Linked DNA regions of Saccharomyces cerevisiae S288C. The gene in region 2 interacts genetically with the main gene of each other region. Each region holds a gene or a part of one and is shown on either strand. Other genes may lie near its edges. The genes, in order: PPT2, CIN1, FAB1 and STU2.

Evidence for each region.
Region 1: mutations in CIN1 (region 2) and PPT2 together harm fitness more than expected from each alone (negative genetic interaction), as found in Saccharomyces cerevisiae (2 studies listed by BioGRID).
Region 3: mutations in CIN1 (region 2) and FAB1 together harm fitness more than expected from each alone (negative genetic interaction), as found in Saccharomyces cerevisiae (2 studies listed by BioGRID).
Region 4: mutations in CIN1 (region 2) and STU2 together harm fitness more than expected from each alone (negative genetic interaction), as found in Saccharomyces cerevisiae (2 studies listed by BioGRID).

The regions. Positions count from the first base shown.
Region 1 is NC_001148.4:271,794-277,217, reverse strand, and holds PPT2 (holo-[acyl-carrier-protein] synthase), read left to right. Parts: upstream 1-4,402; coding exon 4,403-4,924; downstream 4,925-5,424. Other genes in the region: NOP53 (Nop53p), read left to right, coding at 1-1,056; ATP-binding cassette long-chain fatty acid transporter PXA1, read right to left, coding at 1,351-3,963; ATG5 (Atg5p), read right to left, coding at 5,024-5,424. UniProt on the Saccharomyces cerevisiae protein: Transfers the 4'-phosphopantetheine moiety from coenzyme A to a Ser of mitochondrial acyl-carrier-protein.
Region 2 is NC_001147.6:988,283-996,335, forward strand, and holds CIN1 (Cin1p), read left to right. Parts: upstream 1-1,506; coding exon 1,507-4,551; downstream 4,552-8,053. Other genes in the region: proline permease PUT4, read right to left, coding at 1-500; MNE1 (Mne1p), read right to left, coding at 4,582-6,573; serine/threonine protein kinase MEK1, read right to left, coding at 6,736-8,053.
Region 3 is NC_001138.5:181,055-191,578, forward strand, and holds FAB1 (1-phosphatidylinositol-3-phosphate 5-kinase), read left to right. Parts: upstream 1-3,447; coding exon 3,448-10,284; downstream 10,285-10,524. Other genes in the region: IGD1 (Igd1p), read right to left, coding at 1,220-1,807; YFR018C (uncharacterized protein), read right to left, coding at 2,077-3,168. UniProt on the Saccharomyces cerevisiae protein: The PI(3,5)P2 regulatory complex regulates both the synthesis and turnover of phosphatidylinositol 3,5-bisphosphate (PtdIns(3,5)P2).
Region 4 is NC_001144.5:232,938-240,926, forward strand, and holds STU2 (Stu2p), read right to left. Parts: upstream 4,767-7,989; coding exon 2,100-4,766; downstream 1-2,099. Other genes in the region: PDC1 (indolepyruvate decarboxylase 1), read right to left, coding at 1-1,144; YLR046C (uncharacterized protein), read right to left, coding at 5,064-5,876; FRE8 (putative ferric-chelate reductase), read right to left, coding at 6,410-7,989.

The DNA.
Region 1 (5,424 bases), on a different chromosome or scaffold from region 2:
CACCATAAGAATAGTAGTGGAAATCCTAATAAGATTCAAGGTGTTTCTAAACACGAATTAAAGAAATTAATGGCTTTGGCTGGCAGAGTACACGGCGAATCGAAGATCAAGAATAGAGTTGCCAAAGACGGTCTAGTTAAAACAACGGCTGGCGACTTATGGGGTGAAGAATCCAATTCAAAGAAACAGAAGGTCAAATTACCTTCCGGTATCAAACTTGATGTGGAAAAAAAGGACCAGATACCTGAAGAACTATTGAAAAAATCCACGACAAGTTGGTCTACTGCTTCAGTCAGACCAAGTACTTTAGATATAGAGCCAATTGCAGTAAAAGAATTCACAGAAATTCCACATGCTGGTAAATCCTACAATCCCAACAATAAAGCTTGGTCAGAATTGATAAACAAAGAGTATAAAGAGGAAAAGGCAAGAGAAGATGAAAGAATCGCCTTGGAAAAGTACAAAGAAAGAATTAGACATTTAATGGAAACTTTAGATGACAATGAAGAGGAAGAGTCTTCATCAAACGAAGAAGAAGAAGAAGAAGAAGAAGAAAATGAAAATGAAAATGAAAGTACGCAATGTAGTGGATCTGATAAGGAAATAAAACTATCAATAAATAAGCCTGTGAAGAATAAAAAGAAAACAAAATATCAAAGAAACAAGGCAAAGAGACATGAAGAGAAAGTAAAATTGCAACAAGAGTTGAAAGAATTGAGACAACGTGTTAAAGATTTAGAAGAAGTTATCAATTCTGAAGAGACTGAGATACTTTCAGCCATAGAGTCAGATAGCAACAAGGTTAAAAAAAGCAAGAAAAATAAGAAACACAAGTTAGGGACGAAATACTCTGTGATTGATGAAAGATTGGAGATTAAATTTTCTGACGAATTATCTGACTCATTGAGAAAACTGAAACCTGAAGGAAATCTGCTATATGATACTGTGAGAAAACTACAAAGTTCTGGTAAGGTCGAAACAAGAGTGCCCGTTAGGAAAGGTAGAAAGTATAAGCAGAAAATCACTGAAAAGTGGACACATAAGGACTTCAAATAGAGTTTTTTGTTTTACAGTATATGTTTCCATGAAAAGGTTGTCCTTGATACGTGGATTCATCAAGTGAGATATATATATATATGTTCATATTTGTGTTGGCAAGACCAACAACTGTATAGTAGGTAACAAATTGTTTCATTTTCTTTTCGTTCTCTGCCCTTTTCTAGTTTGAGAGGGCATTCCCATGTCGATATCTCTAGATATCAGTTAAACATTCAAAAGTACAAATTCAGTTACGGAAATAATATATAAATTATATTCGCTAAATAAAATCTCTCCCTTTCTAGGGTGTTTTCAAATAATTTCAAGCTTTTCCCGTAGCTTCGTCCTCTCATCTTCCCAACCTTTTACTCTTTCTAGTTTTCTCTCCAATTCCTCAATCTCGTTGTCAATCGACGTGATTGCTTCATCGGTACCAACTGCCTGTAATTGCCATTTGCCATCTCGATTTTCACCGATCTCTAGTAACATTTCATGATATTTGATTAATGTGGGTCTTTGTGATATGGAAATGAAATTGAATCTGTATCGTTTTAAAAGATTGAACAGATAGTCTTCCATGTCAACACTAATTGCGTTTGTAGCCTCATCTAATACTACGTATAGTGGTTTATGAAACATGATTCTAGCAAAATTTACTCTTTGCTTTTCACCACCACTTAATAAGTCCTTCCAATCGGCAATGGCATCTAGGTAAGTTAAGCCAACGCCTCTTTTTAAAAGATAATCTAGTTTCACTTCGACTAATATCTGTACTAGCTCCTTATCTCTAAACCCCCTATCAAAGAATTCATCCGAGGACATGGGGTATATAATTTGGTCTCTTAAAGTTCCACCTCTACTAAAATATGGTTTCTGAGGAATAAAAAAAATATTATTTTCTGAAGGAATCGACAATAATCCATTTTTGTTATACACTGGCCATATTTCAGCTATAATGCGTTGAATTGAACTTTTACCGCAACCATTTGGCCCTAATATTAACAGGCTGGAGCCAGAACCCTGCAAAAATGGTAACTTTATATCATTTGCCTTCGATAAGTCTTGTATAGAATTGGACTTTGAAGTTATTGGGTCAATATGCAAAGGAATTTGAAATGTAAGCTTGTTAATCAGCTTTATGCCTTCGCTCGCCCTTACTGATGGAATGATTACGTCTATATTTTCTAACCGAATACCGTTAAAATTGCGTTGAATAGTACCACGAATAGCATCTTGCGAATTATCCGTGGTGGGTAATAAGTTGGAATTTCTGGAAGCGTCTTCTGTACGTATTGACAGGATTGAAGGAACAGCGCCGTAATTAAAGTTCAGAGAGTGAACCCTGTGTAAGACGGAAAGCAGAGTAAATATCCTATTAGTGTAGCCGGTCAATTGTGAGATGTCCTTTATCGAATGCATCAATCTCGAGCCTGCATCTGCAAGCGACAACATCAACCTTTTGTTGACTATAAATTCCTTCATATTTTTTTCCTCTGAATTGATGCCTGTCGCTAAGGTAGACATAACGATAGGGATTGAGGCAAAAACATAACCCAAACCGGACCATGTATATTTTAAAACATAGTCTTCCAACATATTGTAACCAAACTTGACTTTATCAACCAGCAGCATTTTTTCCATCAGCACATCATACAACTCTTTAACTTTCGTCCTTTCCACTGCTGTTCCTTGGTAAAATGCGATCTCTTCGCTATTATTTATCATGTTTAGATGATAATTGTAGTAATCGCCGTCTGAAGCAGATCTCTCGCCTGCCAATTTACCTAATGGTGGCGTGTATTTCCTCAAAATAAACCCAGTAATGAAATAATTAACAAATATACCTGCTACTCCCACAGTTCCCAAATTATCACGTAAATAAACCGAAAAGAATATTAAATCAATAACTGGCTTTGCAATGTTTGCAAAAACGGAGCATGTCGCATCGCAAAATTTTGCAACATCATTAGTAATGGAGTTGTCGATATTCTTGATTACCGAATTGGACGCCTTTGCATCAAAAATTAATTTGTAAAATGTTAGTCTTTTATCCAAATACATGTCATGGATGTAACGTGTCAAATTTACCCTAAAGTTTAAACTCAACTTCCTTTGAAGTAGCTTAATAGCACTATTAGTATAAGAAGCAGGGACAGCAATTAAAAACCAACACCCTAAGTCCCACAGAAAGCTTCTTCCTCTACCAGCAATTATATTTTTGACTATTTGTCCATCCAGCTTGGCTACAAACAAAGAGAGCCAAGTTCTCATCACCAGGAAAAAAATTTGAGCAGTTAAAAGAAGAAAGTTTTTGTCAAAAACTGTTGGAATTAAAATTTTAGACAAGACGTTCATTTGGTTTAAAAATTTTGAGTAGAATAACTGCGAATTCTTGGCTCTTTCCAGTTCTACATTTTTAAAAAGAAACTTATCGTGTTCATATACATCGTTATCCTTTGGTGGAATAAATATCCTTTTCCTTTTTTTTTTATCTGTAGCATTCATAAATTTGTTGTCATCGGGACTCTGGCGGTCGACTAATTCCACTTCAGGAATATACATTATTCTTGCACCACTGTCTAATTGCATTTGAGATCTTGTTCTTCTTATTAAAGGTCTCCTATTCCTTCTCTTCCATGGAAACTTGTAAAATTTATAACATTTTAGAATAATTTTGAAAGTACTATATGTTACACCAGAAAAAAGTGTGACACCAGATAGGAAAAGCGATACCAATAAAATCTGGGCCCTTCTTCTTAGCTTAGGATGAGCAGCGTTTGATCTAGATATCTGTAGAAGATGCCGTATCAATAACTTGAAATATACTTTAGGTGTGACATCGTTAACGTGTAGCCCAATACAGTGAGTATGTAGATTCAGGAGCAAACTCTTTAGTTTCGCTGGTGCTGCTAATGTTGTTGACATTTCTGTGTTATGCGTTCTAAGACTTCCAGATTGTCTGAAACGGGTTTCATTGTTAGTCTCACTTCTTAGAGAAGCATTCTTATATATCTTGACTCTAAAAGGGCTGAAAATAACCGCCGAAATTAAAAATTGGGGTAAAAAAGGGTAACGAAACTTATGCGGTTAAGCCCGATCAACATATAGCTGAATATTGCGTCAAGAATAATTTCTTAATCGGGATTATTTCCGAAGGAAGAAATTCTATTGAAAAAAAAATCTTAACATCAAAACTGCTTATATACATTCCACAGGTTCAAGCGGTCATAAGAGATCTGACTTTTGATAGAAAAGCTAGTTCTTTAAGAAGGCTGAATAGAAGCTAAGCACTATTTTCTTATCAGGAGTATTGCTTTCTAATGAACGTTTATTTCATAAGTGCTAGCTTTGAATGCCTCCAGTGATGAGTTTTGCATCGAGGAATATTGGACGTAAGATAGCAGGAGTGGGAGTTGACATTGTATACTTGCCAAGATTTGCACATATACTAGAGAAATATTCCCCATTCGACCCATGTGGCCGTTCTACCTTGAATAAAATAACACGGAAGTTCATGCATGAAAAGGAAAGATTTCATTTCAGTAATCTTCTCATCGAAGAAAACTGCTTAACTCCACGATTGCATGAATATATAGCGGGAGTTTGGGCTTTGAAGGAATGCTCATTGAAAGCGTTGTGTTGCTGTGTTTCAAAGCATGATCTACCTCCTGCCCAAGTACTGTACGCTGGAATGCTATATAAAACACAAACCGATACAGGTGTACCTCAGTTAGAGTTTGATAAGATGTTTGGAAAAAAGTATCCAAAGTATCAACAGCTCTCGAAAAACTACGATTCTCTCTTTTCCACTCATGAGTTTTTAGTTTCGCTATCCCATGATAAAGATTATTTAATTGCAGTAACAAACTTGGTAGAAAGAGAGTAAAAGTTTTCTTGCAGCCGTATAAATGTGGCCCTATTTTCAACGTCCAAGTTATTTTCTGCGATATTTGAATGACACTTTTAAATGCGTATATAACAGCTCTTAGAGCTCAGAGGAAGCTTTATCGCCGCCTTTTATAGGAACAAGAGTTATGTACAAAAAGCCATCAAAACTTCGCAATTTAGAATACAAATCATACAGGAGCATATGCCAAGGAATTTCAATTCCTTGACAAATAACCATGACATCATTACCATTGATTCCTTCCTTTACGTCCAGAATATCGCCTTCAATATCCTTCAACGTAGGATTGACTCCAGTCATACTGATAGTTGGTTGTGATATTCGAAAAGTTCCTGATGTCCTTGAGGTTTGAATGATGAGCGGTATATGTCGCGGTCTTGATGAACTTATCTTGTTAGATATTTCAATGAAATCTTGGAAATTTCTCGTAATAACACTGCCCCAAAATTTTCGAGCTTCGTTGACCGATAAAGACATAA
Region 2 (8,053 bases):
CACACCATTTCGCCCAGCGCGCACATGATCGGGTAGATCACCGCGGAAATAATAATGTACGATATGAACAGCCCCGCGGGACCGCACGTATGAAGCGTGGATGAAGTCCCCACCAGCAAACCGGTACCGATGGCGCCGCCCAGCGCGATCAGTTGCACATGGCGCGACTGCAAACCTTGTTTTAGTTTGTGCGGCTCGCTATCGCCATCGACGGAGGGCGATTTCTCCAAGTCCACGTCCATAATCAAATCCTCGCGGATGGTGCCGTTGGACGACGCGGACTGGTTCTTAGATATTTTCTCCATACGGATGGCGTCATCTTTTTCATTGTCGCTGCGATGATTATTGCGCGACCCGGACGATGGTGATTCCGTTACCTGGACAACATCCTCCTCCTTCTTGGTGTCGCCGCCGCTACCGTCGCCGCTAACATCGTCCGCGCAGGTGACGACTCCCGCGCTGTGTCTATTGTTCTTGTGGAAGGGCAGTATATTTACCATGATTTATTCATTGATGGTGTGATTCTTCGAAACAGCAAAGAATAAAAGAAACTGGAAGGGAAGAGAGAAAAAAAAAGGAAAGGAAGAGGAACACAAACCCCCTATATATATATAGAAGTACATCAGTCTACAAATATTCGAGTGTATAAGTATGTATATACATATATGTTTATGCGTCTGTATCAGTACATGGATGGAGATATGCTGTGCCTACATTCATGGAATATTCAGATTGGGGCATGTACATAAACAGACATAATTAGTATTTTGGCCGTAGGTCCTGCCCTACCCTGCAAGGTTCTTCTTGTTATCAGCACTGGATGGAGGGGTGAAGCAGATAAAACCCCGGTGTAGTTGGCGATAGGCAGAGTGCAGGCACGATGATAGCGAGGGGTTGAAAACGTCCCATTTTCCTTTGATAGGAAATATCGGGCAGAAGTTGAAAAGCGACAAAAGCGACAGGCACACGCGAACCGGCTAGGCCACCCAAACGTCATAGCTAGCGCAATGAAAAAAACTAACGTCGCTTCCCTTTTGGTTTGATGATGTTTCAACTCGCAGCGCGGGTACCCGGGCTGCCGGAACAAAGCCGTGCAAGTAGCGGCTGTCGTCACGCACCATGGGTACCATCTTGTGCCGTGCCGTGCTACCTCAGATTTAGGACCCTGGAGATTTGGCAGACATGACAAGCAATTTTGACAAACTTGTGACAAGATTTGAACCGCGCGGGAATTCACATTGCAGTATGGACGGACATCCGGCCATCGCGCGCGGGCCCGGTATTTGATCTCCGTTTTAGAAGCACAGAAAAAAATAATATGATGTTATGATGTTTAATAGATGGATTCATATCGTCCGGGTAAAAACGCTTTTGGAGAAATCAAGGAAAATCGCCGAGATCACTAGGAAATACTATTACTATTGAAAAAAAAAAAAAGAAAAAAAAAGGAAAGACGATAATATTTTTGGAAAGAACGCCACCACACGCACTTTACACCCTTCAATCATGAACAATATTCGGGCCTTGCTGGACTCGATACAATCTGGAGTTCAGACCGTTTCTCCAGAAAAGCACCAACAGACGATTGCCGCGATCAACAAATTTCAAGATGATCCTGCACTTCTAGACACCATACTACCGAGATGCGTGCCTCTTTTGACCAAGTCGTTCTTTTGTATGTCACAGCGTGATCAGAAACTTGTTGCGGAGCTTTTCTACAATCTTGACAAGATCTCCCACTCAAAAGTCCTTAAATCATTAGATACAAGTATTTTTAGATTAAACGAAATTTTAAACTATTTACAAGATCGAGCCTCGCCCTCTTCTTTCAGCGATGTCTTGTGCGTCTATCTAAACCTTTCTTGGCTAAGCGTCATTCTGCTTTCACCTTACGCATTCAAAGATAAATTCAACAAAACGCTTCAAGTATCTTCCAGGTTCGAGAACTACCCCATTTGCATACCTCCAATTAACAAGATCAAAGCCGTTTTATATTTCAAAAACTTCACAGATGCCTTTGACCAGCTACCGGAACGGGAACAGGCAAATGTGCCGTTTCTCAACCAATTTTTAAAGCTGTTTATTCAGTCTTCGGAAAAGGCAAACTACTACTTCTCCAATGAAAATCTAAGACACTTACAACAAGTTGCACTGTCCAATGACGGAATAAAGCTGCTGCCAAAATTATTCCAGATTTCGTTCAATCATGGCTCTCATGATATCCTAGATGCTATAGTAGAATTCTTCCATGACCATTTAAGTTCGAATTCCACAGACACAAGATTCCAATTGGCACACTCCTTCGCTAAAATTGCCAAGTTCCTGCACCAGGCAGATCCAGCATCTTTTATCGAGCTCATTGATTATACCATCGAAAATACGGTTTCCCTATTACAGGCTCCTTGCGATTCTATCGATAGCAATGAGCTGCACACTTCCCTTCTGATCATCGCCGAGGTGGCTCTGGCCAAAATTCTGCCTATAGATCTAGTCGACCGCGTATTGACTCTGATCATCCCTAAAACATGTCATTTTCAGAAATCTCACTTTCAAATCATCAAGGGCCACCATATCAGGGACTCGACAAACTTCATTATCTGGTCAGTAATAAGGTCAAACCGTAGCAATAGTTTATCGCCGCAGGTTCTACAATCACTACTTTCTCATCTGTTAATAAACGCCTTTTTTGACCCCGAATTAATAATCAGATACTCGAGTTTTGCCGCGCTCCAAGAATTATTGGGCAGGTCCAACAAATCTCTTGCGCTAAATCAAAATGACATTGCTTTGATATTGCAAGCAAATTGGAAGGATCTACCGAGGTCTTTCGAGGAGAACTCTGGTCTAATTCGTAGGCTGTTCAACCCCGAAAACACCTCCAAAAGTGCTGTTTGCGTATGGAAGGTATTCCGCGATTGGTCCTTCAATTGGAATTTACTAGAGAATTTACATTTGACCACAATGAAACTCAACATAGATTATAACCTAGTTCCATTAATCAAGTCGAAATTATCTTCACCCGCTTTATTGCAAGAGGTATTAAACAAGGCTGGCAGCTCAGTTACACAAAATTGTCAAATTTTGTACTTGTACTTGAAACTATTCGAAAATGACGTAAATTGCCCGAAAATAAGCGAGATTTGTATCGACATTTACCAGAAAAAGATAAAATTCCAATTAACTACTCAAGCGAAAAGACAATTTAACGATAATTCGCCCGAACTGTTTCAAATTTTTGTCATTTTGAAATACTGGCAATTAACAGGACAAAATGATTTCAATCAGGAATTGTTTTGGAAATTTGTAGACATAGTATCCCCACAAAAGAAGTTAAATCTGTACAACGAATTCATCCCTATAATACAGCAAATAATATCTCAATGCGTTAGCCTAAACTACACAAGGATTGTTCAATTAATTAAATCAGATAACGAACTGACTTGCCGATCAATATGTCATATGCCCGATCAAGAAAAGATGTGTTCCCTTTTCTTCTCCCAGTTCCCCCTATTGTCACCTCAATCCAGATCGCTTTTGATAGGCGAACTTGATCATCATTGGGATGTTAGAATAAGCTTACTCCCGTCGAATTCGTATCGAAAATTTCGCAACATCATTATCAACTGTCTCGATGATTATACAATAACTCAACAGGGTGATGTAGGACGTCTGGTAAGAATACAGGCTTTAAAACTTATGCAATCCCATCCCGATTTCTTATCTGGTGATTGCGACTCCATCAATCCAAAATTAACGAGATTGCTGGCGGAACCTGTACCAGAGATCAGAAAACTAAGTTATCAATTACTTGCTTCGGCCACATCACAAATCACTGTGTTATCTGACTCTTCGATACTCAATTTCCGTCACAAGCAAGGTTTAAGTGAAGAATTCTGGAAAGGATATGCAGTGAGCGCTGGAGCAATACATTTTACAGATTCTCAGCTTACTTCATCAATAGATTCATTTATCGTATACTACAGATCTTTGTCTCCTTCACAACAGCTGGAATTATGCCACGATTTAATCAGAATAATTCCAAGCGCTAAACAAATCGCTGAATCAAGAATACGCGATCGTAACAAGGATCCATTAACAGGAGGTATGAGATTTGACACCATCAAATTCACCATTCATTGTGTAAAATTTTGGACTAGAATCATGGAATCTGGGTTGGTTGTTCTACATCCAAATTTTAATTTTCAGGGTGTTTTCGCCAAGTTCTATAACCTACATTTATTAGATTGTACGACATTGAGAGTAAGCGTGATCAAATTCTTCCCGTTCTTGGCAATATCTTGTTACCACACAATGAGAGAAAATGCTGACCAGAAGAATCTATCCAACATAATACTGAAAAGGTTGTTGGTTCTTGTGAAACGTGAATACGCCGCAACAAAATCAAAATTTATGACTGATCAAAATGTCGCTTTACAAGGTATGTTCCAGATATTTTTGGAATTAGGTGTCACCAGGCAACTCCAAGCTCTACAAGTGGCCTGCCAGAAACATGAATTGGCGAATATATTAGAGTCTGATATCACTTTATAGAATGTAAACGGCAAATTTTACATATAATCATTATTTTTGTTGCATTTGCTTAGATCTTATGTAAGAAAATAGATTTTCTACTCTCTTTGCATAGGATACATCCGCAGCAAAATTATATTCCGCATCATTTGCGGTAAATAAAGCTTCATTCCGCATTTCTTTATCTCTTTTTGCTTTAGATTTTTGGAAAATTTCTGAATCCATATGAAATAGAGTTTTTCGCTCCCCAAAAATTTTGCGCAATTCCATTATGTTTATTGGTTGAATGGTCCCTTTTTCTGACTTAAATGGTTTATTCTCAACATACCATTCGCCGACGTCATCTGTTATCTGCAAAACTCTATCGGTGTTTTCTTGTATATCAATTTCTAAGCTGGATAGCCATTCAGAAATTGCATCTCCGATTTGTATTGGCAACCTCCACGAAAACTTATCACTAAACTTATCGAAAAGAAAAAATTTGTGACTTTGTGTAACCAACAAATTATAGAAAGCAAAATAGAAAAAATCAGAATCAGAGTAGTTTTTGCAGACTTTCAACATCGAGAGAAAATCGTGGGAGGTAAATTGATAGCCGATTTCATTCAACTGGTTATACAATGCCAGTAGAGTAAGTTTGGTAGAAATATCTTGAGAGGCGCCATGAAAGAGGCAATGAAAAGTGGAATTTTCTTTGTTTCCAACTATATTATCTGTGAGTAATAATGGCTGCCATAAATTTTTTTCGTATACTATGTGCTCGACCAATGAAAGCATAAAATCGAAATCCTTGCGCACAGATAAGTGACACAGTAGCATATCAATAAAAAAAGCTCTTAAGGAATGCAGGTTGGACTCAGCCTGCATTTGGTCATCAACCTCCTTAATGTGCTTTTTCCATACTTCTAAGTTCAGAGGCAAATCACTTAATTTAAACGATAGAAATTGAAGAAATGAATCTTGCTTGAGAGGTTCGAAATTATCTTTTGATAAAATATGTATGCTCTGCTTCAAACTCACGTCAGTTGGTAATTTTTCAAGTCCGAATTGCCTAGTGACAGCGGTAGTTGATGATAATCCATTCATGGTTTCAATAACTTTGAGGCAAGAATGGTTCTGGGATAATTGTATCAAGTTGGAGGAATCATGCTGATCAAAATGAAAGTTCCATTCAGACAAGCTCCTTAAAATCTGACAAGCTTCATTCTCCATATTTTGTGCTATCATTACTTTTAGACTTTTGACTAGGCATGGACTAAATAACTCCAACAATTGAATAGCTCTTTCACGCTCCTTCGAACCTCTTAAACCAGAATCCGGTACACATGAGGATAAAATATCCAACATACTTGTCCATTGGGAGGTCTCCACATAAAATGCCAGCTGGGATAAATTGGCTAATAATTGACCCTCCGAATTTTCCGCGAACAACCGCTGTATTGCCCTTAAGTAGTAGTTCGATTGGGATTTAACAATTAAAAGAGTACAATTCCTCAAAAATTTTATGTTTGCCCGAAATTTTCCTTCTATAGTTAAAGATTTGGTTTTAAGAAAATAATAGCGATCCAATAATTGCAATGAAAATTTAGCTAGTGCAATTTTGTCATTTGCGGACCGAAGCGATAGTTTATAGAGCATATTAGATAGCTCATGATAAAATTCCAAAGGCAGCCGATCAGGTGGGAATGCATCAATCTGTCGGCCACTTTTATTTAGCCATTTTATGTGACCTGTGCCAATACGATTCAACAACGCAAAATACAAAGCAGGATTATCGGATGTACGAAGCTTCTGTAGAGTAGTCAGTACCACATTTAATCGTAAATTTACATTTTGGAGCTTATCTTCATTCAGTTTATCTTTTCTTGTTAGCGCATCCTTCAACCATTTATCAGTTATTGAGTTAGTTCTTTTGTTATTTGGTAAACGTTTATGCGATGATGGCTGTCGCCCTAGCTGTGGTAGTATTTCAGGAGTGATTAAAGAGTCCTTAATCAGCTTACCAATATGACTAGACGAATATCTTTTAAAAAGTAACTTCATATTCTTCTTGGCACACTACTATCATTTTTTCTCGCCGTTTCTAGTAGAAAAGGGCAACTTTTACTTAAAAATCATACAATTGACTTACTTTTTTTTTTTTACACAGATACCTTTTTATTTTGAACTACGCGCAGTTTGAAAGAGGAAGAGATAATCCTATGATTACTCCAAAACCTTCTTCTTTTTCGGTATTGCCTGAGAAATGATAACACTTTTGGGTAACTTCCTTTTCCAGTCTGAATTTATACTTTCTAGTTTAGGGCCTTCGTTATTGCACAATATCTTTTTGTAATATAATCTCTCTAATTGACTTAAGTGTTTTGCAATCCAAATATGTTTGAGACCTTGCTTACTATTTAATCGTTTAACTACGTCAGTTTGCAAAAGGTCTTTGACAAAACTCTTGGCATTATCTGAAACAATATCCCACTGCTTCAGTTTGAAATTCAGCTTCCCAATTTTTGCATTTTGAATAATACTCCTCTCAGAACCATCTCCATAAAAAGGCGAGATCCCTGTTAACATAATGTGTGTAATGACACCCAAAGACCAAAGATCACATTTACTGTCATAACCTCGTTGCTCTAACGTAGCTGCTCTTGAGAAGCTTTGATATGCTTTTCTGTTTGCTCTGAATCCAACTTCTGGAGCGCAGTATTCCGGAGTGCCTACGACAGTATGCATTCTTTCTTTGTTGGAATTTAAATCTTTAGCTATACCAAAGTCTGCCAAGACGATTCTAGTGCACGGTTCTGGCGTACATAACAAAATATTGTCTAGTTTCAAATCGCGGTGAACAATGTCTTGATCATGAAGGTAGTTTAAAGCTTGCAAAATTTGAAAGACGATCAATAGCGATTCAGTTTCTGACATGGAAGTTAGACAGTCGCCTTTAGCTAGGTAAGAAAACAAATCACCACCAGGGATAAGATCCTGGAATATGTAAAGGTGATTGTTCCTGTCACAGAAAGTATGGTAGACTTTGATAATATTTGGGTGATCCAGTCTCAAAAGGATTCGAGCCTCTTTATCGAATTTATTTGGTTTTAGTTTAATGATCTTCACAGCATAATTTTCAGGGTGATAACAGACATCTTCATCACGTTCTTTTGAGTTATGCGTGATCAGAACATGACCGAAAGTGCCATTACCCACTATTCTATTTGTTATTTCCCATTGGTCTACTTCCCTCAGAAAACCCATTTGATCTAAAAGTTTTGGGTCCAGAGAAGATTGTAAATCATCATTAATCATAAAAACTAGTCGTGTTTTTTTAATGTCATTTTCTTCACTTCCCTGCGATAATTCAATAACGTCGCAATGTTTTAAAAGATACGTTTTGTCCCTTTTCAAAAGCAAACCGTTCAAATACGTTCCATTAAGAGAACAATCTTTAACGTAGAACATTGGAATACTATCCTCATCAAAAAAGACACACCAAAACACGCAATGAACAGAGGAGATAGAGGGATTCGTTAGA
Region 3 (10,524 bases), on a different chromosome or scaffold from region 2:
GAAGTGTTCGTGTTCTAATAAGGTCACAACAGCTCCAACATTAACCAGAAATACCTGTAAATAGCCCCGCCACGAGGCAACAATTGTCTCTGTATTCTTATCTTTCTCAATAAGCACTTATTAGTTAGTTTACATCCGAGTTCTTGAGCACTCCCCACCTTTTTAGTAGGTCTGAAGTCTTGTTTACAACAGCGGGCACCTCAAGATTGAAAGGAGTTGAGAGTTAGAATATATAATTTTGAAATTAAATTTGAAAATGATGCGATTACCACCGGCAAGTATTCAAAACAAAATAAGACGAGGGAGCTTCATAAAAATTAGGTCGTATATGTTGAAATGAGAGGATTTAGTACATTCTGTATTCATCATATTATAGCCTTTACCAACAATGAAACTCCAGTAATTATCAAATTATTCTCCCAATTCTCACCGAACATGCGGCAACGTTAGGTACGGATCGCGGAAAACACTTTATTTTGTGCAGAGGTACTGTCATGAATACTATGTCAATAAAAAAAGTATCGCATTATCACCACGCCTATATAACATAATCTAAACTATTCGTGAGGGTACAGAAATCCATTGAAATGAATTGATAGTTCTACACGATATCGCTGTCATTTTATTGTACGTTTCAAGTTTTACTAAATAAAAATGACATCTGAAACAGATTAAGTTTTTTTGTAACTTGTGCCCGTTGAAATAGGAATTAACTGTTATAATTGACAATATTCATGTCAACACTATATAGTAATATATAATAAAGAAGGTAACTTAAATGGCGATAGGCGGTCAACAAGTCTAGGGAATCAGAAATGCAAGAATGAATAACGTAATAGGATAGCGAAGGAACATATCAAAAACAAGGGAAAAAAAAATTGGTTCTATATCTAGATATATCTAGAATTTTTGGACTGGTTTTATCTCAATTTCCACCTATCTTTATGTATTATCTTTCGACCGTCTTATCTTTTAATATGGTGGCAGGAATACCAGTCAGACAATGATTGGATCTTGTCTCGGGTTGTTTGTTATCACGTAAGCACCACAGTCCGCTCCGTAGGAAAAGAAAAATAGCCGCCGAGCCACGGGAGCAAATGAGTGAAGAATATGCGCAACGTTTTGGTACATATACAAAAAAATGTAGAAAAGAAGCTAAAGAGATTGACGTTACGTACATATGTATGAGTGGGTAGGTGTGGACGACACTAGGGAGGCTTTACTTCTCTCCAAACATGTGAAGCTGGTTATAGATGTCCTTCTTAAAGTCCTCGTACTTAAAAGACGACTTTCTACGCGTGCCCAACTGTGGAGGAGAGCCGTGTGGGACTCTTGCGCTGTTACCATTGCTGTTGTTGTCAAGGTACGAGTTTTTGAAAATGGGTCTGTTGCCAGCACGAGAACAGATCGGTGTATGGGAGATGGAGTCACCCATATCCACGCCAGCGTGGCTCAGGTCAGAGTCGTTAGTGGTCCTGTATTGCATATTGTGGATAGTATTCTGGAAATCCATGGGTCCGCTACTCCTACGTTCGGCTCCCGGGGCGTGCTCCCCGATACTGCTTTCGCGTTCCCGGGCTTGTTCCCTGGAATTTAGTGCGTCCATATAATTGGTAGACCGCCGTCTAATCATGGGGACTGGCTTGTCTACGCTTTGAGCGGGAGCGCTTGGACCCGGGAGGTTGAATGTAGAAACACTAGGTGTTTCCTGTGCACAGGGCGGTTCGTCGATGTTGAGGAAGTCCTGTGATCTTTCAAATGTGGGTGACGTGCTCACTTGGGGCGTGTTCAAGTGGGGATCTGTCATGAGGGTGAGTGTATGCGTGTGTGTGTGTGTTGCGTAGATGTGTGATTTACTATGTGTTATGTAGCTGCTCTCATCGCTGCTGATAGTAGATCTCTCGCGCAAAAATTACTCAGGCAAACCTTTACTATACCTACATATATATATATATATATGTATATGTATGTGTGCAAGCTTTTCAGAGTGGTGCACTGACATTGACCGGGCCACTCATTCCACCCCACATCCCCCAGATCAGGGGGAGATGTTAACGAAAGGAAACAGGGGATTTATCACTGGTTACGGGAGCGTAGTGACTGTACTACAAATTCGCACACAAGCAGCGCCCAGTGACGAGTCTCCGCGGCGTCTAAGTGCCGGAAGTCATCATCCACGGTGTGCCATGTACTTGGGAATGGTAGCGGGATTGCATGTAATACGGGTACTCCGGCGGCCAGGAATGGCGTGTGGTCGTCTCCGATGACCGAATGCCCGAGCCCTAAAAATCGATAGTCCGTGGGGTCCAGATGTTTGCGTTGACGCGCGACTTCGGCGGCTAATGCCGATTCGCCGTTGATTTCATCTCCACGTCGAAATAACAAGTCATCCTCTATTCGATTGAGCAGCTGATATTCTTGATGTGTCTCTGCATAGTAGCTGGGCACTAGCGGCTCCTCTTCGCCACTTCCTAAAAGATCCAGAAGAAATAATAGGCGAATTCTTGTCATCGTGCCGTCAGCAAGCCATTGGGCGGCTAATCGGCGTGCTCCATAAATCGAGTCCTCGGGGCCCCACTCTTCAATGGCCTCCTCTCCATCAAAGAATACGATCTTTACACCCAAGGTAGAATTCGATACTACAGTGTTCGACTCTAAGTCATTGTACTCTTTCGTGCGCTCGTGGCACGCGATGTGCGTTAGGAACTGGGCCGTATATAGCAGCGCGGCACACGAGGCGGCACTGTCGATAGCGCCCACCATCCCCGTGGGCGCTATCTTGGTATCATAATGAGCAGCGAGCACTAAGTACTCGCTCGCATTGTTTTGTAATGTCATAACAAGGTTATTGAAGCGGTAACCGTTCTCCTCAAAGGCTTGCGTCTCAACGGCCCATTCTCCCGCCAGCGTATTGTTGAAGTGCTCGATGATGAAGCGCTGGATCTCGCGCGAGCCTTCCGATCCGGGTACGCGCGTTCTGTTAAAAGGCAACAGCAGGTTCTTGGTACTTTTGTTCCAACCGCTGTCTGGGTTGATAGCTTCGTTCAGATGCGCTGCATGGTACTGCTCATATGACAACTCCCACCCAGTTACCCTATGCACCTGAAATAGCACCAACAGGTACGCTAGACCAATTAGTCGCAAAGGCAATACGTACTTCATTCCCATGCTTACGACCTTTTCAGTCTTTTTATTTCTTTTCTGTTGACTCTCTCTAACTCTCCCTCTCCCCCTCTTCTTCCCATGAAATGTATCACAAGCCGTCTTATTCCTTTGCTTCTTATATTCTTATGTTCCTTCCTTCGTCTCGCCTCGAAGGCAACGCAAACGCAATGTACTTCTTGACGAACGCGAAAACCATATGGAAAGTAAATAAAGGGCCAAACAAAAAACTATTTCGAATAGCAAGGTAGCTTCCATCCTGTACATGCAAGACCGTCACACAGCATGTCATCGGAAGAACCCCATGCATCTATATCCTTTCCAGATGGCTCACATGTCCGGTCGTCCTCCACTGGTACTTCATCTGTGAACACAATCGATGCTACCTTATCCAGACCGAACTATATTAAGAAACCGTCCCTGCACATTATGTCGACATCTACGACGTCGACTACGACGGATCTAGTGACAAACCCAATTCTGAGCAATATCTCCGTGCCAAAAATAAGCCCCCCCACATCATCCTCGATAGCAACAGCGACATCAACAAGTCACGTGACCGGCACTGCGTCGCATTCGAACATTAAAGCTAATGCTAACACTAGTACCAGCGTGAATAAGAAAAATTTGCCGCCAACAACTAGTGGGAGGATACCCTCTAGCACCATCAAGAGATATCCGAGTCGCTATAAGCCTTCTCACTCGCTGCAGCTGCCCATTAAGAACGACTCCAACTTTAAACGATCTAGCATATATGCCTCCAAATCCACTGTTACTGCTATCCCCATTAGGAACAATCGGCCAATTTCCATGCAGAATTCCTATGCGCGCACTCCTGACAGCGATCATGACGACGTTGGCGATGAAGTGTCTTCGATAAAGAGTGCCTCTTCTTCGTTGACCGCATCCCTGTCCAAGAGTTTCCTGTTCGCATTTTATAACAACCGCAAGAAGGACAAGACCAGTAACAATGGTGTCCTCTCAAAGGAATATTGGATGAAGGACGAGAGTTCTAAAGAATGTTTCAGTTGTGGTAAAACGTTTAACACTTTCAGAAGGAAACACCACTGCAGGATATGCGGCCAAATTTTTTGCAGCAGTTGCACTCTCTTGATAGATGGTGATCGATTCGGCTGTCATGCCAAGATGCGAGTATGTTACAATTGTTATGAGCATGCAGACACATACGAGGACTCCAGTGATGAAGAGAATGATTCTACAATGCAATTGAATGAGCCAAGGTCTCGCTCTCGCTCTCGTTCTTCCAATACCAATCCATATTCTCATTCACATTCGCATTTGCATCTCATTTCACAGGACAACCATAACGGTACCGATCTCCATGATCCAGTAGCAGCAACGGATAACCCTCAACAGCAGAATGAGGTCTACCTATTAAATGACGATGACGTACAAAGTATAATGACCTCAGGTGAAGATTCTAAATTGTTCATTTCTACACCCCCACCACCACCGAAGATGGCCATCCCAGCAACAAAGCAAGGCGGATCGCTGGAAATCTCATTCGATTCGGAAAACGATAGGGCTTTGCATTATCAAGATGACAACCCCGGTCGCCATCATCACCTCGATTCCGTGCCCACAAGGTACACTATCAGAGATATGGACAATATATCACATTACGATACCAACTCTAATTCCACTTTGAGGCCACATTATAACACCAATAACAGCACTATTACCATCAACAACCTCAACAACACTACTTCCAACAACAGCAACTATAACAATACCAATAGCAACAGCAACATCAATAATCCTGCGCATTCCTTAAGAAGGTCTATTTTCCATTATGTAAGCAGCAATAGTGTTAACAAGGACAGTAACAATAGCTCTGCAACACCCGCTTCGTCTGCACAGTCTTCTTCCATACTGGATCCTGCCAATCGTATTATCGGGAATTATGCTCATAGAAATTACAAGTTTAAATTCAACTACAATTCCAAAGGTCCTTCGCAACAAAATGACACGGCAAATGGAAATAATGATAATAATAATAATAATAATAATAATAATAATAATAATAATAATAACAGTGCCAGCGGTATTGCTGACAACAATAACATTCCCTCAAACGACAATGGCACGACGTTCACTCTAGATAAGAAGAAAAGAAACCCACTGACAAAATCTAAATCTACGTCCGCTTACCTAGAATATCCTCTAAACGAGGAAGACTCTTCTGAGGACGAAGGTTCCATGTCCATATATTCTGTATTGAATGATGACCATAAAACTGACAATCCAATTAGATCAATGAGGAACTCCACAAAATCTTTTCAACGAGCGCAAGCTTCACTACAGCGGATGAGGTTTAGAAGGAAAAGTAAAAGCAAGCATTTTCCCAACAATTCGAAAAGTTCCATTTATAGAGACTTAAATTTCTTGACCAATAGTACTCCCAATTTACTTTCTGTAGTAAGCGACGATAATCTATACGACGATTCTTCTCCTTTGCAAGACAAGGCCTCTTCATCCGCTGCAAGCAGACTCACTGACAGAAAATTCAGCAATAGCAGTGGCAGCAATAATAATAGCAATAGTAATAGCAATATCAACACCGATCCTTGGAAGAGAATCGCTAGTATATCGGGATTCAAACTGAAAAAGGAAAAAAAGAGAGAATTAAATGAAGTCTCTCTTTTACATATGCATGCCCTATTAAAACAATTATTGAATGATCAAGAAATTTCCAATCTTCAAGAATGGATAACCCTTCTAGATGGCGCTTTGCGTAAAGTTTTAAGGACCATCCTGAACGCGAGGGATTTGAACACATTAGATTTTAGACAAACTTACGTTAAGATAAAAAGAATTAGTGGTGGATCTCCTCAAAATTCAGAATATATCGACGGGGTTGTCTTTTCGAAAGCATTGCCGTCGAAAACAATGCCACGGCATTTGAAAAACCCAAGGATACTATTAATCATGTTTCCACTGGAGTACCAAAAGAACAATAACCACTTTCTAAGTATAGAGTCCGTCTTTAGGCAAGAGCGCGAATATTTGGATAAACTTGTTTCGAGATTAAAGTCATTACATCCTGATATTATATACGTCGGCGCCAATGTTAGTGGGTACGCGTTAGAACTATTAAATGACTCAGGCATTGTCGTACAGTTTAATATGAAACCACAAGTCATTGAAAGAATTGCCAAGCTAACAGAAGCAGATATTGCCATTTCTGTGGATAAGTTGGCTACGAATATTAAGATGGGTGAATGTGAAACTTTTGAAGTTAAAAGCTACATTTATGGAAACATCAGTAAAACATATACATTTCTTCGGGGCTGTAACCCAGAACTTGGTGGAACAATTTTGTTAAGAGGTGATAGTCTTGAAAACTTGAGAAAAATCAAACAAGTCTCTGAATTTATGGTCTACGCAATTTTTTCATTGAAGTTGGAAAGTTCATTTTTTAACGATAATTTCATACAACTTTCTACAGATGTTTATTTGAAGAGAGCTGAATCCAAAAAACTGCAAGTTTTCGAAGGTTATTTTGCAGATTTCTTGATCAAATTCAATAACAGGATTTTGACTGTATCACCAACGGTAGATTTCCCCATTCCCTTTTTATTGGAAAAAGCCAGAGGCTTGGAAAAGAAGCTCATAGAAAGGATCAATCAATATGAAAGCGAATCTGATTTAGATCGGCAAACGCAACTAAATATGCTTCAAGGCTTAGAATCGACTATCACTAAGAAACACTTAGGAAATTTAATAAAATTCCTGCATGAAATGGAAATTGAAAATTTAGAGCTTGAGTTTCAGAAGAGAAGTCGTCAATGGGAGGTTTCATATTCATCATCACAGAACTTACTTGGTACGGGCTCACACCAGTCTATAACAGTTCTCTACTCAATGGTTTCAACAAAGACTGCCACACCTTGCGTTGGCCCTCAAATTGTTACTATTGACTATTTTTGGGACAGTGATATTTCCATTGGTCAGTTTATCGAGAACGTCGTGGGAACTGCCAGGTATCCCTGCCAACAAGGCTGTAATGGTCTGTATTTGGATCATTATAGAAGCTATGTTCATGGGTCAGGAAAAGTAGACGTTTTAATCGAAAAATTCCAAACTAGATTACCAAAATTAAAAGATATTATCCTCACGTGGAGTTATTGTAAAAAATGTGGGACATCTACTCCGATTTTACAAATTAGCGAAAAAACCTGGAATCATTCTTTCGGTAAATATTTAGAAGTCATGTTTTGGAGTTACAAAGATAGCGTGACAGGAATTGGGAAATGTCCTCATGATTTCACTAAAGATCATGTCAAATACTTTGGTTACAATGATTTAGTGGTTCGACTAGAATATTCTGATTTAGAAGTTCATGAATTGATAACCCCACCACGCAAAATAAAATGGAAACCTCATATCGACATCAAACTGAAGGTGGAACTATACTATAAGATTCTGGAAAAGATCAATAATTTCTATGGGAGTGTCCTAAGTCGGTTGGAACGTATTAAATTGGATAGTATGACTAAAGATAAAGTTCTTAGTGGACAAGCTAAAATTATCGAATTGAAGAGCAATGCTACAGAGGAGCAAAAATTAATGTTGCAAGACCTGGATACTTTTTACGCAGATAGTCCTTGCGATCAACATTTACCATTGAACCTGGTTATCAAATCTCTATACGATAAGGCTGTAAATTGGAACTCTACATTTGCGATATTTGCAAAAAGCTATTTGCCTTCTGAAACTGATATTAGTCGTATCACGGCCAAGCAGCTGAAAAAACTGTTTTACGATTCTTCAAGAAAAGACAGCGAAGACAAAAAATCACTTCATGATGAAAAGGCGAAGACGAGGAAACCAGAAAAGAACGAATTACCGTTAGAGGGATTGAAAGATGTCGAAAAGCCGAAAATTGATAGCAAGAATACGACAGAGAATCGTGACAGAACGAACGAACCACAGAATGCCGTGACGATAACCACTTTTAAAGACGACACTCCAATTATTCCAACAAGTGGTACTAGTCACTTGACAGTTACACCTTCTGCATCGTCGGTTTCTTCTTCTTTGACCCCTCAAACCGAAGAACGTCCGCCAATAAGCAGAAGTGGAACAGGTATATCTATGACTCATGATAAAAGCACTAGACCTAACATAAGAAAAATGAGTAGTGATAGTAGTTTATGTGGACTAGCATCACTTGCTAATGAATATAGTAAAAATAATAAGGTGAGTAAGCTAGCTACATTTTTCGATCAAATGCATTTTGATGCCCTGTCGAAAGAATTTGAACTGGAACGTGAAAGGGAAAGATTACAACTTAATAAGGATAAATACCAAGCCATACGATTACAAACATCCACACCAATTGTGGAAATTTATAAAAATGTCAAAGACGCAGTTGATGAACCGCTTCACTCTAGAAGTTCAGGCAATAATTTGTCATCTGCGAATGTTAAGACTTTGGAGGCACCTGTGGGAGAACATTCCCGGGCCAATAATTGTAATCCTCCTAATTTAGATCAAAACTTGGAAACTGAATTAGAAAATTCCATTAGCCAATGGGGAGAAAACATTTTGAACCCCTCTGGAAAGACCACCGCAAGTACTCATTTAAATTCTAAGCCAGTAGTAAAGGAAACTTCAGAAAATCCAAAGTCAATAGTTAGAGAATCAGATAATTCAAAGTCGGAGCCGCTTCCACCTGTAATAACAACAACAACTGTCAATAAGGTAGAATCCACTCCACAACCTGAAAAATCATTATTGATGAAAACCTTGAGCAACTTTTGGGCAGATCGATCTGCGTATTTGTGGAAACCCCTTGTTTATCCAACCTGTCCTTCGGAACACATTTTTACTGATAGTGACGTTATAATCCGCGAAGATGAACCAAGTTCCTTGATCGCATTTTGCTTAAGTACTTCTGACTATAGAAATAAAATGATGAACTTGAATGTCCAGCAACAACAGCAGCAGCAAACAGCAGAAGCTGCTCCTGCCAAAACAGGAGGAAACAGTGGAGGAACTACGCAAACCGGGGATCCTTCTGTTAACATTTCTCCCTCAGTTTCTACAACTTCTCATAATAAGGGGAGGGACTCAGAAATTTCATCCTTAGTAACCACCAAAGAGGGCTTGTTGAACACCCCTCCCATTGAAGGCGCCCGAGATAGGACCCCACAAGAATCACAAACGCATTCCCAAGCAAATTTAGATACTCTTCAAGAATTAGAGAAAATTATGACAAAAAAAACAGCCACACACTTGAGATATCAATTTGAGGAGGGTTTAACGGTAATGTCATGTAAAATTTTCTTCACAGAACATTTTGACGTGTTTAGAAAGATTTGTGATTGTCAAGAAAACTTCATTCAAAGTTTGTCAAGATGTGTTAAATGGGATTCCAATGGGGGGAAAAGTGGGAGCGGGTTTTTAAAGACTTTGGATGATAGATTTATTATAAAGGAGCTGTCACACGCAGAACTGGAAGCCTTCATAAAATTTGCACCAAGTTATTTTGAATACATGGCACAAGCAATGTTCCATGATTTGCCCACGACTTTGGCTAAAGTATTTGGGTTTTATCAAATTCAAGTAAAAAGCTCTATTTCAAGTTCCAAAAGTTATAAAATGGACGTTATCATTATGGAGAACTTATTTTATGAGAAGAAAACAACAAGAATATTTGATTTGAAGGGTTCCATGAGAAATAGACATGTCGAACAAACAGGTAAAGCTAATGAAGTGTTGTTGGATGAAAATATGGTAGAGTATATTTACGAATCACCTATTCATGTTCGCGAATATGACAAGAAACTTTTAAGAGCTTCTGTTTGGAACGACACATTATTTTTGGCCAAAATGAATGTGATGGATTATTCCTTAGTCATTGGTATTGACAATGAAGGGTATACTTTGACAGTAGGAATCATTGATTTCATTCGAACGTTTACATGGGACAAAAAACTAGAAAGTTGGGTCAAAGAGAAAGGCCTAGTAGGGGGGGCCAGTGTGATCAAGCAGCCTACCGTTGTTACACCAAGACAATATAAAAAACGTTTTAGGGAAGCAATGGAGAGGTATATTTTGATGGTTCCTGATCCGTGGTATAGGGAAGGAAATTAATACATAAACGTGTACAAGTTATATTCTGTAACTTTTTTTTATACACTATCACGCACATTAGTGTTCTTTAACTTTCAGTACCTTAGTAGTTATCAACTATGAAAAGGTGGTTCAATGAATGTTACGAAAGGTTTATTATAGAAGGATAAGAAGCAAAAATTTAAAAAAGAAATGCGTCACAGACAGGATTCGAACCTGCGCAGGTAAAACCCAATGCCTAATTGCTTTTCTGAGGAAATA
Region 4 (7,989 bases), on a different chromosome or scaffold from region 2:
CACCTTCTTGCAAGAAGTTACCCAATTGGTTCCACATCCATTCTTGCTTCAATGGGGTAGAAGCTGGGACAGCAGCGTTAGCTGGAGTTCTAGCTGGGACAGCAACTGGCTTGTAACCCTTAGCGGCGTCAGCAATAGTGGTCAACAACTTTTGCAAAACGAATTTCATTTGGACACCTGGGAAAGTGGCGTTTCTGATCTTCATGTGGTCGGAGTGGAATTCGACAATGTTCTTGGTCTTGTAAGAGTAAGAGAAAGAACCGGTGTTGAAATCAGACAACAAAGCACCGACAGACAAAATCAAGTCAGCAGATTCAACGGCTTCCTTAACTTCTGGCTTGGACAAGGTACCGACGTAAACACCACCGTATCTTGGGTGTTGTTCGTCAATGGAACCCTTACCCATTGGGGTGACGAAAGCTGGGAATTGAGTCAAGTCAATCAACTTCTTAGTTTCAGCCTTGACGTCGTGTCTGGAACAACAAGCATCAGCCAAGATAACTGGGTTCTTAGCATCCTTGACCAAAGCCAAGATGGTGTCAATGACTTCCTTTTCGGATTCAGCATCGTTTGGCTTCAAAGACATGTCAATTGGAGTTTGCAACAACTTAGCTGGGACGTTCAAGTCGACCAAGTTAGCTGGCAAACCTAAGTAGACTGGTCTTTGGGTGACGTAAGTGGTTCTGATACATCTGTCAATTTCAGCTGGGGCGGTAGCAATGTCAGTGATCATAGCAGTGGTTTCAGAAATGTTGGCAGACATTCTGTGGAAAACAGTGAAGTCACCGTTACCCAAGGTGTGGTGCAACAACAATTGCTTAGCTTGAGCAGAGATGGATGGGACACCAACAACGTGCAAAACACCGACGTGTTCAGCGTAAGAACCGGCAATACCGTTCAAAGCAGACAATTCACCGACACCGAAGGTGGTGATGATACAAGACATACCCTTGATACGAGCGTAACCATCAGCGGCGTAAGCAGCGTTCAATTCGTTGGCGTTACCAGCCCATCTCATACCTTCAACTTCGTAGATCTTGTCCAACAAGGACAAGTTGAAGTCACCTGGCAAACCGAAAACGGTGTTAACGTTGACTTGCTTTAATCTTTCGAACAAATATTTACCCAAAGTAATTTCAGACATTTTGATTGATTTGACTGTGTTATTTTGCGTGAGGTTATGAGTAGAAAATAATAATTGAGAAAGGAATATGACAAGAAATATGAAAATAAAGGGAACAAACCCAAATCTGATTGCAAGGAGAGTGAAAGAGCCTTGTTTATATATTTTTTTTTCCTATGTTCAACGAGGACAGCTAGGTTTATGCAAAAATGTGCCATCACCATAAGCTGATTCAAATGAGCTAAAAAAAAAATAGTTAGAAAATAAGGTGGTGTTGAACGATAGCAAGTAGATCAAGACACCGTCTAACAGAAAAAGGGGCAGCGGACAATATTATGCAATTATGAAGAAAAGTACTCAAAGGGTCGGAAAAATATTCAAACGATATTTGCATAAAATCCTCAATTGATTGATTATTCCATAGTAAAATACCGTAACAACACAAAATTGTTCTCAAATTCATAAATTATTCATTTTTTCCACGAGCCTCATCACACGAAAAGTCAGAAGAGCATACATAATCTTTTAAATGCATAGGTTATGCATTTTGCAAATGCCACCAGGCAACAAAAATATGCGTTTAGCGGGCGGAATCGGGAAGGAAGCCGGAACCACCAAAAACTGGAAGCTACGTTTTTAAGGAAGGTATGGGTGCAGTGTGCTTATCTCAAGAAATATTAGTTATGATATAAGGTGTTGAAGTTTAGAGATAGGTAAATAAACGCGGGGTGTGTTTATTACATGAAGAAGAAGTTAGTTTCTGCCTTGCTTGTTTATCTTGCACATCACATCAGCGGAACATATGCTCACCCAGTCGCATGTTGTTACCCTCATGAAACATGTATGAGATATTACTTTGAATAGGTTACTTGCATGCATTTCGGCGTGCGGGTACCACCTCTTTGCATGAGCTTGTTCCTTTTTCAAGTTGAAGACTATATATTTTATTGAGTTTATGTTATGGGGAGGCTACCCTTTACGTCCTGGTTGTCCCTTCCCGCCTTGATTTGGCCTTCATTTTTTCAATTCTGGCCTTTAGGGTAGATGTCACTGCAGCGGCACGTTTATAACTTTCTTCTGAGGCAAAACTATCGTTGAAATCGATATCCAAATCGTCGGAGACACTGCTCACTCCAGTGCCGTTTTTTCTGTACGGCCGTATGTTAAGAGAGTTTACGCGGTGCGGCAGGTCGCCGATGGACTCGCTTGATCTTCTTTCATAGTTGACGTCCTCTTTCCTTCTGACATCTTCCTCCTCCTTAAATGGCAAAGCGGAAGATAAAGATTTTACCCCATAGTTGCTTGACACGGTGGAAGAAGGTATGGAGTATGATGAAATCGTACCCATCGATTGCAAGTTTGTATCATTTCTTTTCTTATTTCTATCCAATTCGATCTCCATGTTTCTAAGCTCGTTTTCTAGTGACAGTACTCTATCAGACAGCTTATTGACATCAATCTCCTTGGATCTTAATTGAATGTTCTTTTCGTTCAATTTAGACTGCGCTTCCTTTAGTTGCTCTCTTAGCATTTCGTTTTCTTTAATCATTTCGATCTTATAATTTTCTGTATTATTCATCTTTTCCAATAGGCTTTGTCTTTCTTTGGTCCATATCATCTCATCATTTTGTAGTTTTTGCAGTCTGTACTTGTATTCTTCAATCAACTTTTCATTCTTGTCAGTGCTATTAGCTACTACGTTTTTTGGCGTTGCCAAAGACTTAGACGTCAACAGGACCCTCGATTTATTGTTAGCAGCTACCATTGATGGTTTTGATGCGGAGGCTACTGACCCTATTGGGTTCACTTTACTTTTGTTATCATTTCTCAGCGGTGAAGATGCCACTCTCTTGGAGGGAAGTACAGAACTTTTTTTCAGGAGAAATTTATTCTCCATTGGCCCAGTTTGTTTATTCGTTTCAATAGTGCTATGGGTACTACCACTTGCAATACTGAAATTAGGTAGAGTTTTGACCGTTTCTTCAATTTTTTTCCTTTTCAAATTATCCAAGTGCTCTAATGTTTTCACAAAGGTATTCATGCCAAATATTTTAATTAGAATGGCGAAACTCTCAAATCCAATAGTTCTTATAGCAGGTTGGGTGTCGTTGACGATCTGAATCACAATTGGTACCACTTCATCCTTCAAGTATCTTTGCAGGGTCGAGTATCCATCTTTTTCTTCTTTCATGCTTGCATTAAACAATTGCGTACACTCCATTCTGATTTGAGGTGTCTTGTGCTTCATATGCTCCAAAATATCTTTCAACATATCTTCATTGCGTCCACTGGAGGCTAATGGATCGTAATACTTGCAGATGGTTAATAATGCCTTCCTAATGGCCTCTATCACAGAAGGTTTCTTTTCCTTTGTCCTGTCTAACAAGGGAGTGAAGACTAGTGAAACATAATCCTTGGAAAAGCCTGGTGTTTTTAGTTTGTCGCAGATTAATTCTACTGATTGAGCGGCTAGTGCAACAGCTTGAATGTTTGCATCTTTCTGGATAATATGGCCATATATCCCCAATAAGTTGGAATAATTTTGCGAGGTGCTTTTTAACTTCTTAGTCTGCGATAGAACACTATCCCAAAATTCTTCCAGCGCTTCCACTCTATCTTTCCATTTGGACGACGTTATCCTTTCCTGGAAGTCCTTAGGCAGTTTATCGAGGATCGTCTCCTCCGGTAGCATACTGAAGGTGTCTATTTGAACTCCACTTTGCTGTTTTGATGGTGGCATATCCGTTTCCATCCCCATCAATGTATCTCCATCCTTATCTATCTGATATTCCCCCTCATCATTCGATAATATGGACTTTCTTTTCCTGGCTTCCTCCTCTTGGCTTCTTTTCTTTTCCAATTCTCTTTTCTCCCACTCGAATAACATTTTCGATGACGATGGCTCGTCACCAACTTTTGCAAACAATTTATGAAGATCTTTCACTTGAATTGGTTTTAATTTTTTAAACAGTATCTCCTCTAACAAGTCGCTATTGTTGCCCGTAACCTTATAGATCTCGACAATCAAATTCATCGTTTGTGATCGAACGTTTCTATCACCATGACCGGCTAGTTGAGGTACGTGCTTTAATAATTCTGGTAGAAACGTTTGAACGTTCACATTAGTGAGCCCGAATGCAGCCATCAACTCATAAACACAATTGGCTGCCGCAGCAATTAATTTTGGCAGTTTTTTCTCGAAAAAGGGTATTACCAATTCCACCGATTGCGTAATAGATGTATCAAGACCACATAGTGAGAGTATACAGCTCATCGACTGCGTCTTCGTTGTAGCCCTTGAGGACGTTAAGCCCTTTTCCACAAGCAATGGTGTCCATGTTGATATTAAAGTAATATTATGTGCATTTTTCAAAGACGATGACGCAAAGGCATCTATTAAACTATTCAAGGCAACAATGGCTTGTTCTTGAGCGACCACATTAGAATCAGTTATATATTGTGCAAATAATGTAGGATCCCTCCAGTAAATTTGTATGTTGTCATCCCTACTGATGTCGCCAACGGAGTTTCTAAAAAGCTGGTTTAACTCCTTATAAGCTTCTAAACGTGCCTTCCATAACTTGTACGTTAATCGCTCTTCTAGGGGTAACGTTGTATAATCTACTTCTTCTTCTCCTGACATAGTCAACTTCAAACTCTTTAATAAAAACTCAAAAATACTTTACACTGTAAAGATAGCTGTTTCTTTGTAGTTTAGTAATGCTATTTGGTCCCTAGGTCTGGTAGGTTCTTCATTTACTCTTCCTATGGAGTGTCAAGCAGACAAAACAAAAACAAAAACAAAAACAAAAACGACACGAAAAAAAATAGATTCGTTAACCATGATAATCTTTGCACCATATAAAGGAAAAGACAAGATTGACTTCTAATGCCCAGCACAAATATTATCCAACTATTTAATTAATAAATTTTTGACTACTTAATCTTCAGACACAGATTCCTTGTCTAATAATTTGTTTAATTGAATATTGACAGATTTATCCTGCAGCTTGAACAAATTTCTTGCGCGAAAGGTTGCTAGGAAAATCAAAGGTAGTAAAAACATTAGAACTGTATCGAAAACGTAAAGGCACCATTCGTGCTGACCTATATAGCTTTGTAAGCCCATTAGAAATTGTACTACTCTGACAATGGTTCTACCATTAACCAGCAATATCCCAGCTAAAAGTATAAAATTGTACTGGAACCATTCATTACTATCCCGCACAATTTTACTAGGCGTTGCCTTCATTTTATAGTGAAGAAAAAGTTGACTGAACGTTAAAAAGGTATAACAAAATATCTGAATGAAAAGACCCACAATAATTAGGATACGCCCAGTATTCCTGCTGTTCCATGAGGATAACAACCCACCTCCTACAGCCTGTAGGACACGCCCAATCATATCTGCCACTACGAAAGAAACTGTACTAAATTTCGCAGGAATTAACATATATGCCTCCATAAGAATTAGACGTGCCATTTTGCTGAACAACATAAAAATACTAAGGGCGTAAAGTGAAGGTGCTATCAATAGAAGCACCGATTGAGCAATGAAAGTCGAAATCGAGGGGCTATTGATAAAGACTATTTTCAACACATAACCCACGAACTCTAAACAAATCCCTAAAACGAAAGGAAAATGTGTCCACATCAAACCGCGGGCAGGAAAGTATATTATTGTGGAATTTTCCTCTGACAACTCATTGTTTTCCCAGCGATGAATACGTCTCTTGCTCGTGTGTGTTGCCATTATGATCTGCACCAAGGCAGAAAGGATTAAAATGCCAAACAGAACGACAAATGCAATCGCTGCACCTTTGTGAGGATTGTATGCATAAAAACCTTCATAATCAGTGATTGCTTTAGTAAAAAAATTCCTATTGAGGCAGTTGAGTTCTTTTATCGACAATAAGTCTCTAGTACAGTAGTGAGAGTGTCATGTATTCAGTACCAAGAAGAACTTATATGCCTTTTATAATTCATCTTATAAGTTGCTAGACATACAAATAATCAATATGGAAATGTGCTTATTCCCGCTAATATCCATTAATATCCGCTGTCATTTTTCGCAACTATCACCAAGTGGAGAGAGGCTTGACAACCACCAGAAAAAAACTAAATCAGCCTGCGGAACTTTTCTCGGAAAAAATCAGTTAGAAAAGATCGTACATAGGGCCCTTTTTTGACAGTAAGATTAAAGAGCAAAACGGGACATTATAGATATGCCACCATCAAATACGTGAATTTTCCAAGCCTCATAAACTAATAGCCAACTTGCAACTCTTATAATGCAAAACTTTCTCCGTGAAAGTGTAAACCACCATCTGTCGCCCATCTTTTGGTGCTTTCAATTAAGCCTCTAGGGCCTGCAGCGAGAACCCATACTTGTGACAAATATTCAGCATGGTCTCTGCCTTGATTCGCCCACCTGCAACATTGAATAGAATCCGTCTCTGCATCACATTCGGTTTGCAGACACCATTCATAATCCTTATCTCCAAGTGTAGGCCTGCCAAAGAACACTTTAACACCTGCGGGAATTCTGATCTTTTTAGGCGCCGCCTCTAAACAAGGATCTTGGGCAGGTGGCTCAATGATCTTTGGTTGTCTGAAAACGCTCGATCCGTTAAACGAAGAATGTGTAGTTAGAGTTCCTTGTGCAGTATTTTTCCTTGATTTGGATCTGCTAAAAGCATATGTAAAATCTATCTCGTCATCAGCATTGATGTCAGGTATATCACTTGTTTTTGGTGGGTGATGGTTTCTCAAGGTAGATTTCTTACTTAGAAGGGCTGTGTTCTCATTGGGCTCCGTAGGTTGGGGATTTCCATCTGATAACATGGAATTATCTCCCAGTTCTGAAACTCGGCCGCTCGAAGAAATACTCCTGACTTCATCATTAATATCAGCAGCGCAGTCATGATAGTCAATATAATCAATTTCTATGTCCTGTTCGTTGCCTTCGGTGCCACTAATATATATCTCCATACCTTCAAAATTGTTTTTGAAGTGGTTCAATACTTCCAGATCCTTATAATCTCTAGAAACCCAAAGGAGCCTAACGTTTACACCGTTGAAGTTTAGAATACGAAGTAGTGGTAAGCCAAAGGAAATTCCTGAACCTCCAACACACATAAACACTCTTTGCGCTTTAATTAGAAAATTTAAAGGCGAATTTATTAGTGCAGAAGAATTGTTTCGAAATGGATTCTTGGAAGATTTCGTGGTAATATTAAAAGGAACAGTAGGTTTAGAAATGAAACTCAACTCAGGTTCAAAAGCCCCTGTAATGTAATACTTTTCATTTGTACGCAATGGAAAATGCCCGTTTCTAATAATTAACCTGACCAAATTATCACTTGGAATACTAGCAATAGTAAAAGGATGTTGGAAGGGTATCAAATGGGAGAAAAACCTCCTTAAAAAATTTCTATGGTAAATGTTGATCCTTAGATGCCCTCCTGGTAGGATGGGCTTTTTGGGTAAATCGGTTAATGGGAACTCCAAAAGAGACAATGATGAAGAAATGGGTACTATCGTAACTCTCGTAACATTGGTGATATGGAGCCTATAGACGATTTGTCCCGTTAATATGAGCACATTTAAAGTGGTATAATATGAAATTCCTGGGCGAGCGTGATAATGTAGAAACACCAAAATAAGCCATGTGCTTACATAGTGAACATAGTAAAAAACTCTGTAGCTCCATCGTCTGGCATATCTCACAGAGGTGATGGCAATCAGTAGGAAAAGGCCGAGGGCAATAACCCCATAAATGTTGGGTAGTTTTCTCATTTTCACGTATAACGTATCATTAATGTACATGTAATAGAGATAGAACCACGTGTGTAGAATAGATTCAA